Linked DNA regions of Arabidopsis thaliana. The protein of the gene in region 3 interacts with the protein of the main gene of each other region in a pairwise test. Each region holds a gene or a part of one and is shown on either strand. Other genes may lie near its edges.

The links.
Region 1: the proteins of SPT (region 3) and HEC2 interact in binary tests that used the Arabidopsis thaliana proteins (3 or more experiments, as listed by UniProt).
Region 2: the proteins of SPT (region 3) and HEC1 interact in binary tests that used the Arabidopsis thaliana proteins (3 or more experiments, as listed by UniProt).
Region 4: the proteins of SPT (region 3) and DRNL interact in binary tests that used the Arabidopsis thaliana proteins (3 or more experiments, as listed by UniProt).

The regions. Positions count from the first base shown.
Region 1 is NC_003074.8:18,655,902-18,660,472, forward strand, and holds HEC2 (basic helix-loop-helix (bHLH) DNA-binding superfamily protein), read right to left. Parts: upstream 2,477-4,571; 5' UTR 2,218-2,476; coding exon 1,522-2,217; 3' UTR 1,054-1,521; downstream 1-1,053.
Region 2 is NC_003076.8:26,763,891-26,768,146, reverse strand, and holds HEC1 (basic helix-loop-helix (bHLH) DNA-binding superfamily protein), read right to left. Parts: upstream 2,066-4,256; 5' UTR 1,872-2,065; coding exon 1,146-1,871; 3' UTR 890-1,145; downstream 1-889. Other genes in the region: RALFL34 (ralf-like 34), read right to left, coding at 1-27. UniProt on the Arabidopsis thaliana protein: Required for the female reproductive tract development and fertility.
Region 3 is NC_003075.7:17,411,898-17,417,575, forward strand, and holds SPT (basic helix-loop-helix (bHLH) DNA-binding superfamily protein), read left to right. Parts: upstream 1-2,185; 5' UTR 2,186-2,269; coding exon 2,270-2,779; intron 2,780-3,011; coding exon 3,012-3,122; intron 3,123-3,194; coding exon 3,195-3,260; intron 3,261-3,357; coding exon 3,358-3,423; intron 3,424-3,517; coding exon 3,518-3,763; intron 3,764-3,841; coding exon 3,842-3,911; intron 3,912-3,995; coding exon 3,996-4,048; 3' UTR 4,049-4,489; downstream 4,490-5,678. Other genes in the region: NAPRT1 (nicotinate phosphoribosyltransferase 1), read left to right, coding at 5,041-5,195, 5,271-5,415, 5,485-5,604. UniProt on the Arabidopsis thaliana protein: Transcription factor that plays a role in floral organogenesis. Promotes the growth of carpel margins and of pollen tract tissues derived from them.
Region 4 is NC_003070.9:8,713,460-8,717,848, reverse strand, and holds DRNL (DORNROSCHEN-like protein), read left to right. Parts: upstream 1-2,470; 5' UTR 2,471-2,539; coding exon 2,540-3,460; 3' UTR 3,461-3,484; downstream 3,485-4,389. UniProt on the Arabidopsis thaliana protein: Required for correct embryo patterning and cotyledon organogenesis. May positively regulate the gibberellin signaling pathway leading to germination, hypocotyl elongation, and leaf expansion.

The DNA.
Region 1 (4,571 bases), on a different chromosome or scaffold from region 3:
TACTATTCACGACAAGAAGATTTACATCATTCCTGAAATTATCAATCAAACGAATAGCTAAAAATGTAAAAATTGTATTGGGTTTTTGGAGTGGACTATTCAGGAATTTCATCTCATAATGGGTTTTTATATAAGATAAATAGTTACAACCCATTTTTAAGAGGCCCAAGGGACGTTTATTTTAAAAAGCTACTGATCCCTTTACAAATTTACGAACAAATAAAGCATATCTTCGAAATTACCAATCTGTATCACACAAAAAAACAACAACACTGAGATATGGAAATTTTCGAGATTAATCTAACGGTGAAGTCCTTATGTGAAATTACGAAACTGCCTTATTCATGTTCATCTTCATCTTTCTGAAGTACCCCTTTTGCTCCCAGAACAATGTCCGCCGTCGTGCTCCGACCAAAACATGTAGTCTAAGTCTAATACTAGTTTGTATCATTATCTGTTACAACAAACATATCTGTGTACGGTAAAGGGCTTATCTTTGTGAAATGGATCTTTATTTGGGCTTTACCTTGTGACACAATAATATGTAGCCTTGGTTTGTGATATAAATTATTTTTTAAAGTTGGGATGTCAGCTGGGTTTCTCCATCTTCTGTAATGAATGTAGTTGATTCAAGTTCCGAGAAATTTATGAAGAAGCAAAAAAAAGAAAGCAAAAAAAAAACATTTAAGTACGAGATAGATTGATATACACTCATTCAAAAGAGAAAAAGTTATTTATACAGCAAGATAGTAGTAGTAATACAATCTGCCTTTCTAGTTTGTTAACTAAAAAGAAGAACAATAGAAAACATATAATTTTACATATATAACTCACCAATATTAAAATCAATATATATGGTAATTTATTTTCTAAACAATTTTTGTTTTATTTCATAAGAGTCTGTTTTCGTTTAATTTAATAAGAGGCTTAGACTTTTGTATTTATATATTAATTATTACATGCATTGAAATTTTGCAGAATCTTACACTCTAAAAGTATGATATATATTTTTATTTTTCAATAAGTGTTAAAATGCTAAACAACACCACAGATGTTCGTGTTATCGATTTGTCTCCAAAACTTCCTGTTATCTATAAAGTTGGCTCACAAAATCATACACCTATGCATCAAGAACGTACCACAGGTACGAAATGCCATAAATTATAAACTTTTGACGCTTACATTGGAAACAAGACAGAAAACAATACTATTATTCAACTCACAAAACCTTAACTAGATGTCTGAAAGCTAAAACATGTTGCATTGATCAGTGACAAGAGACTATTTCATTTAGTAATGATAAATTGATAAACTATGCTTATTCTTTAGTCTTTACAACCAAGTTGTCTGACTTTTAAATTGTTAATTAACCATCCCAAACATTATCGAAACCCGGAAAGATAAAAACATTTAAAAAAAATGCTCTCATAGTTTCATGATACTAAATTCAACTCCCTCGATAATATTTTTTCCCGTCATATTAATAAACATATGATATATATTTAAAAATCAACATCATCATCATCTAAGAATCTGTGCATTTCCAAGCATCTGGTGATGATCAGACCGCATAATGCCACACCCTTTTCCTCCATATCCTCCACCAACAGTACCCGCAAGTGCTCCTCCGGCCACCGCCGTCATTCCTCCGCCGTTAACCACCGCATGTTCCTCCAGCGACTGCACTTGCTTCTTGAGAAACTTAACGTAATGGATAGCCTCATCGAGCATCGACGCCGTATCCATCTTAGTCCCACCGGGAACAAGCCGCTGAAGAATCCGAATCCGCTCGCTTATCCTCTCCCTTCGATGCCGAGCTGCCACGCTCTGTGGATCCTTAGAGATCCTCACGTTCTTTCTCTTTGGTGGCTTTACGGATTCCGGATCAATATGTATAGGCTGCATCACGGCTATTCGAAAGATCATCTCTCTCATCGCCGCCATGTTGGCGTTGTCGCTGCAGCCTCCTCTCTTCTCCGGGAGAGATGATGACGGGGAGGGGGCGTACCGGAAATTTAAACCGGGTTGGTGGTGAGGCATGGTTTGGTCAAATGGGAGATGAGAATGAGTGGGGTTGAAGAAGAACGGGTGGGTGTTGGATTCAGAAAGCATCATAATGTTATGGGGATTAGGGTTAGGGTTTGAGTTAGAGAAGTGTTCAGGAAGCTTCTCCATCTGCTGCATCATCATGTTCATTAGAATGTCGGAGTTATCCATCCTCCTTTTTTGTGGAATTTATAGGGTTTGTTTTTTCTTTGAGAGATATGGAGAAGCTGGTGAGATAAGGTATGGAGGAAGAAGAAGATGGACTGACAAAGCTTGAAATTTAGGGCTTTGTGTGTCTGAATCACAGAAGAGATGATGGTGGAAGACAGAGGGAGAGTTATGTGCGAAATGTAAACTGTTACTACCAATCAGAGATTCAGCAATATAAAAGGAAGTGATGGATTTATATAGCACTTTGTGACCCATTCTTATTATTTTACTCCTTTTTATTACATATATAATTTATAACAATTAGGATTGTTTTCCTTCTTCTATTTTTCACACTCCTAAAACTTTGTAACACACACGTATATGTATTTAGTAAATATATGTATGTATACATTAACGTACACTAGCTAGCAGTTGAAAATTTGTTCATTGCTTTGACATGGATGTTTCAACCTTCCATATGCATTGGACAGTTATATTTATGTTGCACGTATTTTTTTTAACTATAAATAAAATTATACTATTTATTTTATGACAAAAAATATAAATTTATTTACTTTAAACTTTCAATACCAGTTTTGCATAAATTAGTTGGTGTACTTATATATACTTTTGTCTGGAATCATTGCAACTCGCAAGAGATTGGAATCACTAGTCACTTGGTGTCACTAAAATTAGCTGATGAATGGAAAATTCGTTTTGAGTCATATTTCATGAAGGATATTATCCTTTGTCTGGATCAACCGTTCACGTGTCACAATCGGTGGGATTTTGGACCCACGAGTTGTGAACTAAGGCGCTTCTGGACAAATGAAGGTGCATGAACCGCTCTCACCATTTGAGGCAGCAACCATGAATTTTCCTATTTCTACAATTTTAATTTGTTTTCAAAATATAAAAATAAATCTTTTATATAAGTTCGAATGAGTGTAATGGGAAAGACTGAAAGAGAGAGTAGTTGTGTAGTTTTTTTTTTTTGGTATCTAAATTTTATACTACTGTTTTTTTTTGTTTATAATTGTTAATTACCCCACATCCACATGAAATATGTCAGAATCCAGGGAACCCATCTGTTTCGCCGGGATCTGTTCAGGCGACGGCGAAACAATATTACCTTGAATTCAAGTTTTCTTATTTTAACTTTTAACCTGGATGGATCCAATATGTTATGCATGAGAATATTAATGAGATGCACTGTCTTCGTTAGTAAGTAGTAAATAAGATTGATGTTATAACTTCTTTGAACATGCTTGAAGAAAACGTACTACGTTATTATTTTTTTGCATGATTTTTTTGTTTTTGTTTAAATGAGTAATATAGTGAATTTCTCGAGTTTCACAAATACAAACCATCATGTTAACGTATTTAGTTTATATGAATTTGTTTTGCAATGTATATACTAAGGGAGTGTATATTATGGAAGAATATTATCTTATATATAATGGACTCAATATAATCGAACCTCACTTGGCGTCGAGCGTTGGTATATGGCACGCTTATCAAAGCCGATCGGAAAGGACTTATTGCGATCTTCATTAAATTATTTTTCTCTTTATTTTAAGAACTTTACGTGAACATAGAGTAGTACTGTTTATTGACAAAAAACAAATAAAGAACAAAAGAAAGAAATTCTTATAACATTAGTTAACAAAGGAATTGCACTTCAACAACCAAATTAATAATAAATGACTCTTTCCTTAAAAATGCATACGTCAAACGTCAAAAACCTCACAATCTTCAATCAAGATCAATGCTTGGCTTCATTTGTGCAAAATCATCGGGTTTTTTCTTTTCATTCATAGAAATCATCTCTTTTGACGTCACAAAAGTAATTGCTTACTTGTTAATTAAAATTATTATGAGTTCGTCTTCTACCCTATAATTAGCCTAAAATAGACAGACACAGTAAGTTGCTTTGGACTTGGTTTTACCCTCTTATGTTGACACTGAAACATGTAAGAAAGCTAACGAAACGATGACGTTTCGCTGCTCTCTCTTTTTCAATCAGCTTCGTAAGTAACAAAAATAGATGCTATTTTCCCCTTTTCACCTTTTTACTTACACAAAGTCACTGTAAGAATTAAACACTCCTCCTTCCCACCGAATCTAAATTTCTTAACCAAGATTCCAAGTCTTGTTCGTACAATTTTTTTTTTTGTCTCTCGAGAACTTCCTTTTTCGATTTTTTTTCTTTAATTATTGAACTGTTTAATCAAAGTCGCCCATGTCATTCACTACGTTATTGATTGAACAAATGCCGTTAAAATCGACAGCAAATTTAAAAATGTACTAATAAAGAATAAGAACTCAGAATGGAAAACATTAGCTAAGATTGTTTACTGAAATTTGCGATGCAA
Region 2 (4,256 bases), on a different chromosome or scaffold from region 3:
GAGGAGATTGAGAGACGAAGCTGCCATGGCGATTGTTGGGGGAAACTAGAGCGAAGAAGAAGAGGAGGAAAATAAGAAGAAGAGAGTAATAAGGAAGTCACATGTAAAGAGGTGATTGGGGTTTTACAGTTGTGAAGAGATTTTGGGGGTTCTAATTAAATGCGCCATTTATGGACCTCCTCGAGCTTTGTGCTTTTGAGTTTTTTTTTTGGTGAGTGTGTTAGTGTGACGATGAGTGATCTGGTGGGACACGGTGTAGGATAAGAGAAGTGGAAATGATTGGTTGTGAGCCCTTGGATTGTTGGCCTGATTTGATGAGAGATTAATGGGCCAGGCTTTCGTTGGTTTTTTTTGGTATACGAGTAGGTCTTTTTGGGCTTCATCAAAACAGCCTTTGTGATAGCTAGGTTGTGTTTTTAAAAAGATTCGGATGGGTCCAGTTGTTTTTGGGTCCTGAATAATATAGCTGATAACATAAAAGACTACTAATTGTGTAAACAATGAGAAAAAGACCAATCCTGAGACTGTTACACAAAAGCAAAGGCCCAGTTGAATATTTAATAGCATCTTAATGAAATTATTCTATAGACCAAATTTCTTGTAAGATTTTGTTTTAAGTGAAAAATAATTTTTATTGTTTAATGCTTTGAAATTACTGATCATTTAATGAAGATGTTAATTTCTTCCTCAAATCCATCAGATTAGACATTAACAATTGAAAATAAATAATCGTGGACTTTTTGGTTAGTCATATTCTCAAATCTGTATACAAGTATAAGAGTATAAACTCAAATTTTGAAATTTTAATTTTTAATTTAAGAAAAAAGTATAGATATTTGCATGTTGAAAACAGCATTTAGTTTTTAGACAAATAAAAAATGAACACAAGCCTGATAGCTGAAAGCATAATACTGCTTTAATTATTTGATTAACAAGGATACAATGATAATAGTTCCTAATTTACAAACTCGCTCCAACAACCATGGAGAGTCTTTGGCTTTAAAAACCATCATTACACATTATCTAAACAAGAAAATAAAGTTAAATTAAAGACTCTCACATAAATTACTTGGCTTCCCTCTCCAGAATCATTTTTCTCTTTTTCTCCAACATTAATATAATAATAATAAAATTAAAAATCATCATCATCTAAGAATCTGTGCATTGCCCACCATCTGATGAGTCCCCACTGTTCCACACCCTTTCATAACCACTCCCCCGCCGCCACCACCACCACTCGCCGCCGTCATTCCACCTCCACCGATCAAAACCCTTCCTCCTCCTCCTCCCCCTCCGCCAGTAACCACCGCCTGCTCCTCCAGAGACTGCACCTGTTTCTTTAAAAACTTCACATAATGAATTGCTTCATCGAGCATCGAAGCTGTATCCATCTTCGTCCCACCAGGAACAAGCCGTTGCAAAATCCGAATCCTCTCGCTTATTCTCTCCCTTCTATGCCTAGCCGCCACGCTTTGAGGATCTTTAGAGATCCTGACGTTCCTCCTCTTCGGTGGCTTAACCGCCTCGGGATCGATATGGATCGGTTGCATCACGGCGATACGGAAGATCATCTCTCGCATAGCTGCCATGTTCGTGCCATTATTGTTGTTGTTACTGTTGTTTCTTTTGTCAAGAAAAACGGAAGAGTAAGCTGTGTTGGGAGAGATAGAAGAAGGGTTAGTGAGTAAACCGGAACCGTAGCGGAAACCTGGTTCGTTGGTCATTGAGTGATCGGACTGGTAATGAGTGGAGTTAAAGAGAAAAGGGTAAGTGTTGTTGTGGTCGGGAGAGAAGAAAGAGGAATTAGGGTTACAAAACTCAGGAAGCTTCTCCATCTGATGCATCATCATGTTCATTATGTCAGAATCCATAGAGAAAGATATGGAGAAGCTGATAAAATGGGTATGGAGAGAAACTGGTGAAAAGCTTACAAGTGAAATTTTAGGGTTTTTTCTTTTGGATGATTGATGATTGATGATGAGAGAAAGAGACGGTATGTGTGAGAGAAATGGCAATGGTACTACTGTGCCCAATCAGAACTCAAGCAATAGTATACAACAAGAAGTGGAAGGATTTATATAGCAACTTGTGGCCCATCCATCTTCTTTAACTTATGCTACACATATATAATAAAAAGGAATTTCTTCCCATTTTCAACTCTCACATTTATGGGCATATATGTATATATTCAATTTCAAAATTTGTCTTCTTGTCTAAGTGCAAATTCCACATGCATTCGGTCATTCGGACTAACTTACCAATGTAATATCATATATCAACTATTATAGGTTATTATATACCAAGGCAAGTAAAATATTGAGGTGGATTTTATTCCTCATATTTGAACTTGTATGATGATAAAATTCCCAAACATTAATGTTAGGAAAAATCATTTTTATAAAGCCATAATATTTTCGTTCGGTTGCGAATAGAAGCTATGAAAAAGTGTGTACACGTAGGAGTTACTATAAGTAGAATTATTGCGTAACATAACTTGGATCCAAAAAGAAAAACAAGTAAAAAAAGACTAAAAGAAGTAAGAAAAATGGTTCCATTAATGAGTATCGATGATGACCGTCGATAATTGACCAATGGTTTATTTTATCGCATTTATCGACCGTCCAGATCATGTTTGTTGTAAACACGTGGCTTACATCTATTGGTGTTCAGATCCACTAAAGGCAAAGAAGGCATAACGCGTTACGCGACAAAGCAAGGTTCATGAACCGGTCGTCTCACAAGCACAACAACGAGTATTCCATTTTTTCCACCATTATTATTGTATTCATTTCATAATCAACACTTTTGTATGTGAAAAAGGTCAATTAGGTTTCATATAATAGCTGGAGTAAAAGATTATCAACTGGTTTTGTTGCACTAATTAACGAAAGTGTTTTCTTCAATCCAAGAAAAACGGTTACTTAACCAAAATATTATAATAAGAGAGAGAGAGGACTATGATTTATAAGATTACCCCACATCCACATGAGATATGTCAGAATCCAGGGAGCAGTATTTTATTCTGTAAAATTTTCTGGTCAGATTTAAATTAACACAGACTCATAACGAGAACGGTTAATACATTAATACATGCGTGTGTGTGTGTATATATAACAAATGGTGGAGGAACAAACGTATATAGATAGATAAGAAATAAGTCAGGATGATTAATTGGATCTCAGTTGACATCAAGCCTTAGCGTATGGCACGCTTCTCAAAGCCGATCTGAGAACGACTTCATTCCTTTTTTATTTTATTTTACTGTTTTTTTGTTACTCACTATCTTAAATTTCGAATTATTCATTTTTGGAAGTTTTTATGTATTATTCTATATAGTAGATTTTATTAAACACTTTTGTTGCTTACCCCCACTGACTTTCCTTCTGGCGAAGGTGCTTTCAGTTTTTATGAAAATTCTCAACCTTTTTTTCTCTCTTGTAAATTGCTTTTTTAACCAAAGAATTTTATGTTGAAATCGAAAACTGAAGAATCATCATCTGCTGCATCTGACAACCCGATATCATTCCCAACAAAGTGGAGATTTTTTCATTCTTATAACTGATTTACAAATTGCTATACAAAAATAGTATGCATTAGTATCGTGTAAAAAAATAATAATAAATGATATAGTATCATTTAAGATGGATCTGATTCGTGATCAGATAATCGTTTGAATATTTAAATATAATGATGGAACATAACCTAAAAATGTACCGTAAACAAGAAGCAGCATCCTAATTAATTGAAAACAAATGACAATAAATGATTCTTACCTTAAAAATACACAAAATCCAAAAGACACCACAAGCTCTCACTGTTCTTTCAAGATCTGTCTCACTTTATTTGTACAAAATCACATTTAAGACTGGTTTTTGTTTTCTAGTTTATTTACATATAACTCTGATTTTCTCCTTAGATGGTTCTTCCCCATGATTAGATAAAAACAGGCAGACAAAGCAAGTGCTTCGATCTTTGTTTTACCCTCCTATGTTGACACCAAAACATGCTAAATCCCACGAAACGTTGACGTTTCACTGCCCTCACTCTCTCAATCAAGAAACCGGTTTTAGTCCACTTTTTCACTTTTGCCCTACTCGCTACAATTAATACTCATCTGTTGTGAAAACTGTCTTCACTTATCGTCACATTTAATACTAATATTATAGGTATCAATGTAGCTTATTTTCACATTGTTGTTATGTGTTACTGATTATAAGTTTATAACTCACATCATTTCGAATTGGAAGCACTTTGTA
Region 3 (5,678 bases):
ACGAAAAGAAAAAAGCTTTGGAGAAAAAAACAGAGTAAGAACTGTTTTTGTTGTGTGAGAAGAGTTTGTCCTTAGGTCGCATAATCTTTTAGGATGTAGTTATATGTGTTAAGTGTAACACATGCATATCATTTACTTCTGCAATATATCTCTTCTGGAGTTTCGTAAGGTACTTATGGTTGGTTTGTCTTCGAAACTACCAACGAACAACTTAAAAAACATTGATCTTTTTAATAGCGTGAGTTTGATTTATGTTATCCTTGTTATGGTGCATATGTATTACGGAAACTTTGGTCTGTTTTAGATGGGTAAATAGTTGTATATGAGTAAATATGATATTGCCAGTGTTTTATATAAAGAAAAAGGGAAACGATGATAAAAGGTGAAAAAGAAGTTTAGGATCATCTTTGTTTTTTATTTTGTTTTCCGACTTTCAAATCAGACAAGACAACGAGGTATGGGTCTTTTAACATACAGAGACTCAACTTGAAAATTCTATCAAACCACCAATTAAAAAACCAGAGAAAACATTCAACTATCTTCTTAGAATCTAGACAAAATAAAAAGTGTATCATGCTGATTTTGAACAAATTATTAAAGAGATCTCAACCATCGTTTCATTAATATCTTTGACAATTCTAGAAGCCGTAGTAAATCTTGTCTTTTTATGTGTATATCTTGTTGAATTTGATAAGGATATTCAAAATAATGAGATATGTATGTTGAGTAATTGAGTAAAATCAGATCCCTTGTTTAATTTGACGATTAAACGCTTTTTTCATTATTTTTTTTCGCATTTTGTTGTGTATGTTCTCAATTACAAATTCCACTATAAGCATTTGGACTCTACAATGTCACTTTCTAATTCTGATATTTAATAAAACAATTATTTTGTATATGTATAAATAGTACCAGAAAAACGAACTTAATAAAATAATTGAATCAAAAGCAGATGCTGAACAAATAGCTGCAGCTTTTAGCAATTGTCTCCCATATGCTTTTCCTTTGTTTCAAAAATTGTATATACGAGGTTAAGTGAATGTTGCAATGAAATAAATGATGCAGTTTGTGCATTCATCAAGCGAACAAGTACGATTGATGTTTTCAGTGCAAAAACTAAAATAAAATACTACTAACAACTATATAGTGTAAATATATATAACTTTAACTTCTTTTTTTTTAAGTCTTCATACGCTGCGAACGATCAAAATATATTTACAAATTTACGACCAATATTTTAAAAATACTTCATTAAAGAATTGATGCTGCTGTCTGCACAGTTGAGAACGCAATTGGAAACTTTCGTGCATTCACTTTGTTCGCCGCAAATTGGATATGTGAACGTGGTCATCATTATTTATAGAATTATTCTATAAAACTTACTATAAAACACTAGATATAAAGCTGGATCATATAAAATGAATTTACTAAAAATTCGATAGTTAATTATAGCAGATGTTATGTTCCAATTTGAAAGCATACGAACGAGGTATATAGTTGAAAACACACACCGTAAAGTTAATAATTTTCACAACACAAGAACAAATCAAAGTCGCAAGTAATTTAACGCATGTCAGTAGCATGGGCTTCTTATATACTAGTCAATAGAATAAACTAGCAAACAAGCAACTAATGTATTCTTGTTTATCACGCCACGGGTTACAATATCATACAAAATTTGAATACTAATTAATGGTAACAAGTAAAAAAACAAATTACTAGAAATGGAAATACTTTTGTCAAACAACCAAGACGTATAACTTTCGTTTTCTATAGATTAATGGACTTCTTAAAAATCTCTCCATCAGATTAAACTTTGAGATATACAAATACAGTTTTTGTTTTCTTCTAAATGATATGAATATTAACTTTATCGATTTCATCCGTAGCAGATTTCCATTTTAAATAATAAACTATGAGAAAACAGATAAAGGTTGTATATTATTTGTTACCCCAAAAAAAAAAAAAACTAACTACGAGTAGTAGTTTAGTGTGTCTCACGTGCGACGAGGAAAAGTTTTGGGAGAGTAAAAACATTTAATATTTACGACTAGTTTGAAAAACCGTGAGCTGACACAAGCTCATTGCTAATGCTACAGTAACAGCTACCTTCACTTTTAACTAAATGACAGACCAATCATTTTAACCTCTGTTTTCTTAGCTGGCGCGTGACAGACACTCTCCCTCTCTCCATGCCCATAAAATCTCAAAGACTGTTTAAAAAAAAAAATGTTTTAGCTTTAACTGCTTTTTTTTTGTTGTTGGTGTAATGATATCACAGAGAGAAGAAAGAGAAGAGAAGAAGCAGAGAGTGATGGGAGATAAGAAATTGATTTCATCTTCTTCTTCTTCCTCGGTTTACGATACTCGTATCAATCATCATCTTCATCATCCTCCGTCTTCTTCCGACGAAATCTCTCAGTTTCTCCGGCATATTTTCGACCGTTCTTCTCCTTTACCTTCTTACTACTCCCCGGCGACGACTACAACGACGGCGTCTTTGATTGGTGTGCACGGGAGCGGTGACCCACATGCAGATAACTCGAGAAGTCTCGTTTCTCATCATCCACCGTCAGATTCTGTGCTTATGTCGAAACGTGTCGGAGATTTCTCTGAGGTTTTAATCGGCGGAGGATCAGGCTCAGCCGCCGCGTGTTTTGGTTTCTCCGGTGGTGGTAATAATAACAACGTTCAAGGAAATAGCTCTGGGACTCGAGTATCGTCTTCTTCCGTTGGAGCTAGTGGCAACGAGACAGATGAGTATGACTGTGAAAGCGAGGTTTTTTCTCAATCTCTGTTTTTTATCTTTTGCATGTTTTAAAAGTTGATTCTTTGTCTCTTTCCCGAGAAAATGTTTCTACAGAGATTTCTCTTTAACGGATCTGTACTTTATTTTCCCCCTTAAAATCCGCAATTTTTTTGGTTGTGATTTTGAGTGAAGTTTTGTCATTTGTGAGTGTAATAATGAATGCACACCGAGTGTTTGATAATTTGCTTCAATGAAAATACAGGAAGGAGGAGAAGCTGTAGTTGATGAAGCTCCCTCTTCCAAGTCAGGTCCTTCTTCTCGTAGTTCATCTAAAAGATGCAGAGCTGCTGAAGTTCATAATCTCTCTGAGAAGGTTTGGTTTAGAGTCTCTCCCAAAAGTAGAAACTTTCTTATTTGAGATTTATGTTTATCTTTCTTGTAACAGAGGAGGAGAAGTAGAATTAATGAAAAAATGAAAGCTTTACAAAGTCTCATCCCTAATTCAAATAAGGTAATGATACTATATATAGAGAGACATCTACATGAATCATTCTATTTTCTGTAGATTCTTTTTGTGTCTGATTATTGCAATGTGTTTATTGGGGAAGACGGATAAGGCTTCAATGCTTGATGAAGCCATTGAGTATCTGAAACAGCTTCAGCTCCAAGTTCAGGTCACTAAAGATACCTTATGTTTATCATTATAACCAAAATCCTAAAACCAGTCTATATTCTGACATAAGTCTTTTTTTGTTCTGATATTTGCAGATGTTGACTATGAGAAATGGAATAAACTTGCATCCTTTGTGTTTACCTGGAACTACATTACACCCATTGCAACTCTCTCAGATTCGACCCCCTGAAGCAACCAATGATCCTCTGCTTAATCATACCAATCAGTTTGCTTCGACTTCTAATGCACCGGAAATGATCAATACTGTGGCTTCTTCATACGCTTTGGAACCTTCTATTCGCAGTCACTTTGGACCTTTCCCTCTCCTTACTTCACCCGTGGTGCGTAGTTGAATTACACATTTTTCATTCTATAACCATAAAGCTAGTTTGCTTACTAATTTTTTTTTGTTACTTAAGGAGATGAGTCGGGAAGGTGGGTTAACTCATCCAAGGTTGAACATTGGTCATTCCAACGCAAACATAACCGGTAAAGTCTTGTTGTTTTGGAATCCTAAGGAAGTTTTAGGACATTTACAATGTTAATAACGTTACGATATTTGGGGATTTGCAGGGGAACAAGCTCTGTTTGATGGACAACCTGACCTAAAAGATCGAATTACTTGAACAGTGTCCCAACTTCGGGATCTCTATGTGTTCTTGTTTCTTAGAACGCAAGCCATAAAGCTGTCTGACAATGGAGATGCATTTAACTGTCTTTATTTTTTCTAAGGTTCTATTTAAAATCAATTGTTGGTGACACGAATTCTAGAGTCTAATCTTTTGGATCTAATAGCTATATATAAAAAGGACTGAAATTTTATTACAAAGTAATTGACTAATTGTTAGATTGTTGTATGTTTATGGTGGATGTAAATTTTCTAGATCATCTTCGTATTGTATTTGAGAGTTTGATACTCGATGGCTTTGGATATGTAAATTACCCCGATAAGCTTCTAGAGAAGTTTTCGATTCTACAAGATGGATTTGGTATCTTTAAGGTTGACCATGTTCTTTTGGTATCTCTTGTTCTCAAATTGATCATTTACAATACAATTTTTTAAAATCTTTTACCCTTCACATTTTTGTACTTACATTTGGTATATTAGTAATTTCATTTGTAAGTGTCTTTTAAAAGTTTTTCATTTATAAGTGTTGTTTTAAGATCTTTTATGATAATTAAAAAATGCTTAAATATCTTATTAACCCTTAATTAGTATACTTATAGCTTTAGTTCTCCAATTAATCTTTAGTAAGTAAAAGGGACAGAGCTAGAACTTTATTTAAAATTGGATTGAAAATACATAAATCTTATATTTTTTTCAAAAACTAGTATTGAACATACAATTTATTTATTTTATTTTATTTGTAAAACAACAATAAAAGTAAAATCATACAACGATATATTTTGAAAAAAGGAAAAGTAATTAGGATTCTCTTTCGGTGAAAATATCAGAGAACAAAATATATTTGAATGCGACTGTAGTTGAAACTTGAAAAAAATTTAGATACTAAAGTTTCGTCATTCTCTTTTTGTTAAAGACTCAGTGACGACCCTCTCCTAAAAAACACTCATAAATAAACTCGCTGGAGACGCCGGAACCAAAAACAGAGTTCTAATGGAGAAGAAAGAAAATGGTCTCGATGGAAAGCAATCGGGTCGGGTCATTAACGGACCCACTAACCCGATGGTCACACCTCTGCTCAACGATCTTTACCAATTCACCATGGCTTATGCTTATTGGAAAGCTGGCAAACAATCTGAGCGATCTGTGTTAGTATTCTTCAAAATTTACAAAAAAGTTCGATCCTTTGAATCCACACTGTAAAATCTCATCTTTGTTTTCAGGTTTGATCTGTATTTTCGTAAGAATCCTTTTGGTGGAGAATACACTATCTTTGCTGGTTTAGAAGAATGCATCAAATTTCTCGCTAATTTCAATTTGACTGATGAAGAGATCGATTTCGTTCGTGATTCGTTACCTGGATGTGAGGTATAACACAATCTCTCTTGCCAAAAGATTCGATTTTTGGCATTGTTTTTTAACTCTTTTAAAAATCAGGAAGCTTTCTGTGATTATCTTCGAGGGCTTGATTGTTCTGACATTGAAGTGTATGCCATTTCGGAAGGATCAGTTGTTTTTCCTAAAGTTCCTTTACTCAGAATCGAAGGTCCTGTTGCTGTGAGTTCTTATTATCTATCTCTAACTCTCATAATTGGAATGATCAGTTTCTGATTCCTCTTGTGCTTCTTTAC
Region 4 (4,389 bases), on a different chromosome or scaffold from region 3:
TTGCATGTAACCTACTTTCGTAGCTTTGCCCCTTCATTTTTGCCTTCCATTTTCTTCTTTTATTACCAGACATTTCAACTCAAGACCAAAGTTATAATTTCATTTCATCTAAATGTAAAGAAACTATTATGGGAGCCATGGACCGTTATGTTTCGGTCAAGCTCACATTTAATTTACTTCCTTTGTAAGATATATTTTTTTTGTAACCCAAAATATTAAAATATATAGTACTTAAATAAGTTACATAAAAAAAAATCTTTAACTAGAATGCCTCTTGAGCATAATAGTAAATATATTTTTGAGGTATTATAACCCCTATCACATAGCACATTTATTTTTTGAATTAAATAAATTAAGATTTTGGGTTCAAATAGCACATTTTCACATTCTCTCATTCATTTAATTCTTTTATGTGGATATATTGGGAATTTCTCAATAATCTATATCATGTAATCAATAGTGTTCACCACCCTATATTTTTTTTTTCACTACTCCACCCTATATATTTCAAAGCTATGATAATACTTCTTTTTTTTGTTGTCATAACTCATAAAGTTACAAATTAATTCTTTGTAGTTTCGAAAGACGGAAGCATGCATCAAAATAGAAATATAGGATTTTCTTTTCTTAACAGTTTTCCCGTTTTCTCCATCTGACAAATTGACGTCCATATCGTTTAGGTTTAGAATATTAGTCTGATTTCTATGAATTAAAGATCTAGCTAGAGCCGATTATTCAAACTACTTCATGAATTAATCTTCTGTTGATATGTTGTACCGTGTACGTACAAGTTGATACCACCGTTATATAGGTTCAAGTTTTCCACAAATTTCCACATTTTTTAAAAGTGATTTCGATTCCTTACAAACTGAGCTCTGTGGTGTTCAGCTTCATAATCCACTAATTCCACAAGGAGCTCACGACTTCTCTTCCTTCAACATCTACTGTTTGTAGACATGATTTGCCAACGTTTTGTTGAGGAAACATAGTTTTGTTTTTGTTTGCCTCACATATTTATTCCATTTTTTTGTTTGTTATTTTTTTCTTTTCAATCTGCATATTTTTTCGCGGCACAACCTAAATGAAAAAAAAATTACATGCAATTAGATATGATTGTAAATCGTTATATATATAACAACGGCAAAATATTTAGACACTCCTAAAAGACTTCTGCGTTGATATATTTTTTTTCTCCTACGCGATATATGTCAATAATTACGTGATAAACATAATAACATACGTGATAATTGCATGCAACCCTTATATTTAGACGATTGATAATTTTTTCTCCTAGGCGTGATAAAACTTTTTTTGACGGATTTTTTTTTTTTGCATTCAACCCTTATATTTAGGGCTCGAATATGAATGGAGCTTTACAGACATTAATTGATCAAGAATGTGAGAGAGATTTAGATTATTTTTTATGTAAATGCGAAATTACATTAATTATCAAACATATATATACGAAATTAGTGGTGGAGATTGATTTCCGTAAACGCAAAGGGTCATTAGTCACAATCGAGCTACAGTAGGAAAGCCCTAAAGAGGCTACACCATGAAGAAAGAGCCCTAGTTGAGACAAATCCACGTGACTTTGGTTTACAGATTAAAAAGCAAAACCCTAAATAAGCAAATCGACCATAATCTCGTAAAAAGAACAGACAAAACACAACCTCATGTAGAAGGAACAATTTCTGCGCGCCGCCAGTGTTATTAATTCAGAATCATAATTTCACGATTTTCAACCCTCTCCTTTTAAGCTTCAACTCCAACATCATAATTTTCCCTTCCACAAACTACTGTATAAATCACTTTTAACTCTATTGCTTATTATTATTACTGTAATTCATTATTATTATAAATTAATGACCATTGATTATTTCCCAAAACACAATTAAAGAAAAGTGCGTAAAGATTAAAGAATAATATGACCAACGGAAATAGCTGAAAACGATGACCTTTGAATTTGTTCAAAAATAAATGAAATCAATGATTTTATAATTTTAATTTGTAAATTGTTCAAGAAAGTTTTCTGAAATATATTCATGTCTTTCACTTAAAACAAAAGAATAAATCGACCTTTAATCAACAGTATCAAAGGACCTTTATACTCTGACAATAAGAAAGAATGGTGCAAGGGTTAAGATAAAAATAGTACATCATAATTATGAATTTGTTACTTGTCAAAAAGACATGAAATATGTAACTTATAACTGCTTTTATGCAAGTCCGTAGAAAAGGAAAAAGAAAAGACATGTAAGTTCGAACGTGGAACAAGAACTTCGTTAAACGTACTTTTGCTTTCTGCATCTCTCATAGATTCACAACTCACAAGTCAATAAAAGATGCAATGCAAGTCCATTTTTTTAAATTATATATTGGGTCAGGTCCATCTTAAATTAAAAACAATAAAAATGTATATTTTATTTTCTATAAATACGTAATCAGCTATCATCACATTCAGGTGCCTCACAACCCTAAGACAATCACAGAACAAAAAGAAAAATTCTTAGCTTTAAAAATTTCCCTTAGGTCAACCATGGAAGAAGCAATCATGAGACTCGAAGGTGCCGAGCACAGAGAAACCAACATCCATTCTTTGAAAAGAAAGCCATCAAGAACTTCCTCGACAGCTCCTGGCTCTCCCGGAGGAGTAACTACCGCAAAAGCTGCCTCCGGCGCCGGCGCTTCCGGTGTCTCTACGATAAGGTACCGAGGCGTGAGGCGTAGGCCATGGGGTCGTTACGCAGCTGAAATACGGGACCCATTGTCCAAGGAGAGACGATGGCTCGGAACATTTGACACGGCCGAGGAAGCAGCTTGCGCATATGACTGCGCCGCTCGAGCCATGCGTGGTCTTAAAGCTCGAACCAACTTCGTCTACCCAATGCCTTCTCTCGACTCTTATCACCACCGTATTTTCTCGTCTCCTCCAATGAATATGTTCCTTCTACGAGACGTGTTAAACTCTCAGTCTCTTTCTCCGTTAACCACTTTCGCTTACCCGCCTTGTAATCTTTCTAACGTAAACGACGTTGTTCACGAGTCCTTCACTAACGTCAACGATGTCTGTGAAGATCTCTCGCCTAAAGCTAAGAGGTCAAGTACCATTGAGAACGAGAGCCTGATATCAAATATCTTTGAACCAGAACCAGCTAGTTCTGGTCTTCTTCAAGAAATTGTTCAAGGCTTCTTACCAAAACCTATCTCTCAACATGCTTCTATACCTCCAAAGAGCAACCAACAGTCGGTTGGTGTTTTCCCGACGATGCCAGAGAGCGGTTTTCAGACAGATGTTCGTTTAGCTGACTTCCATGTCGAAGGAAACGGATTCGGTCAGGTTAAATATCATGGAGAGTTAGGTTGGGCTGATCATGAGAATGGGTTTGATTCAGCTAAGATGCAGCAGAACGGAAATGGTGGAATGTTTTATCAGTATTGCTTTCATGATGATTATTAGAATATTGTTGTTGTTCTACTTTTTACGTGCTTATCACTTCACAGTTTCTTTAGGGTTGTAAGAAATGAGGTTAAGGGTAACTAACTCAAATCTTTTGTCTTTTAATTTTTCGTCTAGTGCTATGATCAATTTATCTCTATGTTTTAGCAAAGAACAATTTTTATCTGAGTATGAGCGAAGTTAATTAATTGTGTATGACATATGTCGGTTATGAGCAAAGGTAATAACAAAAATAAAGTAAAAATACTCGAGGTGCTGGATGAAGACAATACCTAAAGGACAAAAATATATATCTTGAACAAATTAAGATTTTTTTTTCTTTTCTATAAGTTGACTTCAGAATCATAAAGACAGCCTTTGTCCTCTTGCTTTTTCTTCTTTCCCTTTTCCCTCTCAGATCACCGTAAGGGCATAATTATATTTAGGTTCACAAAATCCTTTGTCCATTAAAGTATTTGCACCATCAAAACTCAGTAAACATATACTTAAGGACTCGAATTTGCATCAATGTTTATAACCCTTATTCAAAAAAACCATATCCCAATTATGATCTTTAGGGGTACTCTTCAAGTATCCAAGAGATCTTCTAAATATTGGAATTTCTAGTGGATGTGATATGAACGATGTTGGGACTGTCTTTAGTTTTATATGATCACATCAGTCTATATTAATTTTTATTTTAAAACAAAACATTATATAAAAATATATCATAAAATTATTCAATTATCGATATTCATTCAAAATAAAATCATAACACTTATTTGAATTTGAAATCTCGTTGTTACTACAATTCTATATATAGAACTATTCTACCAAATATTAATTGAAAAGATTATATTCATTTAAATATGAAATAGAAGTTCAGTGCTCCTAGCTCATATTGTTTTCCTCTATATTCAATGCGCTTTGTATATAACAAAAGTTTTTTT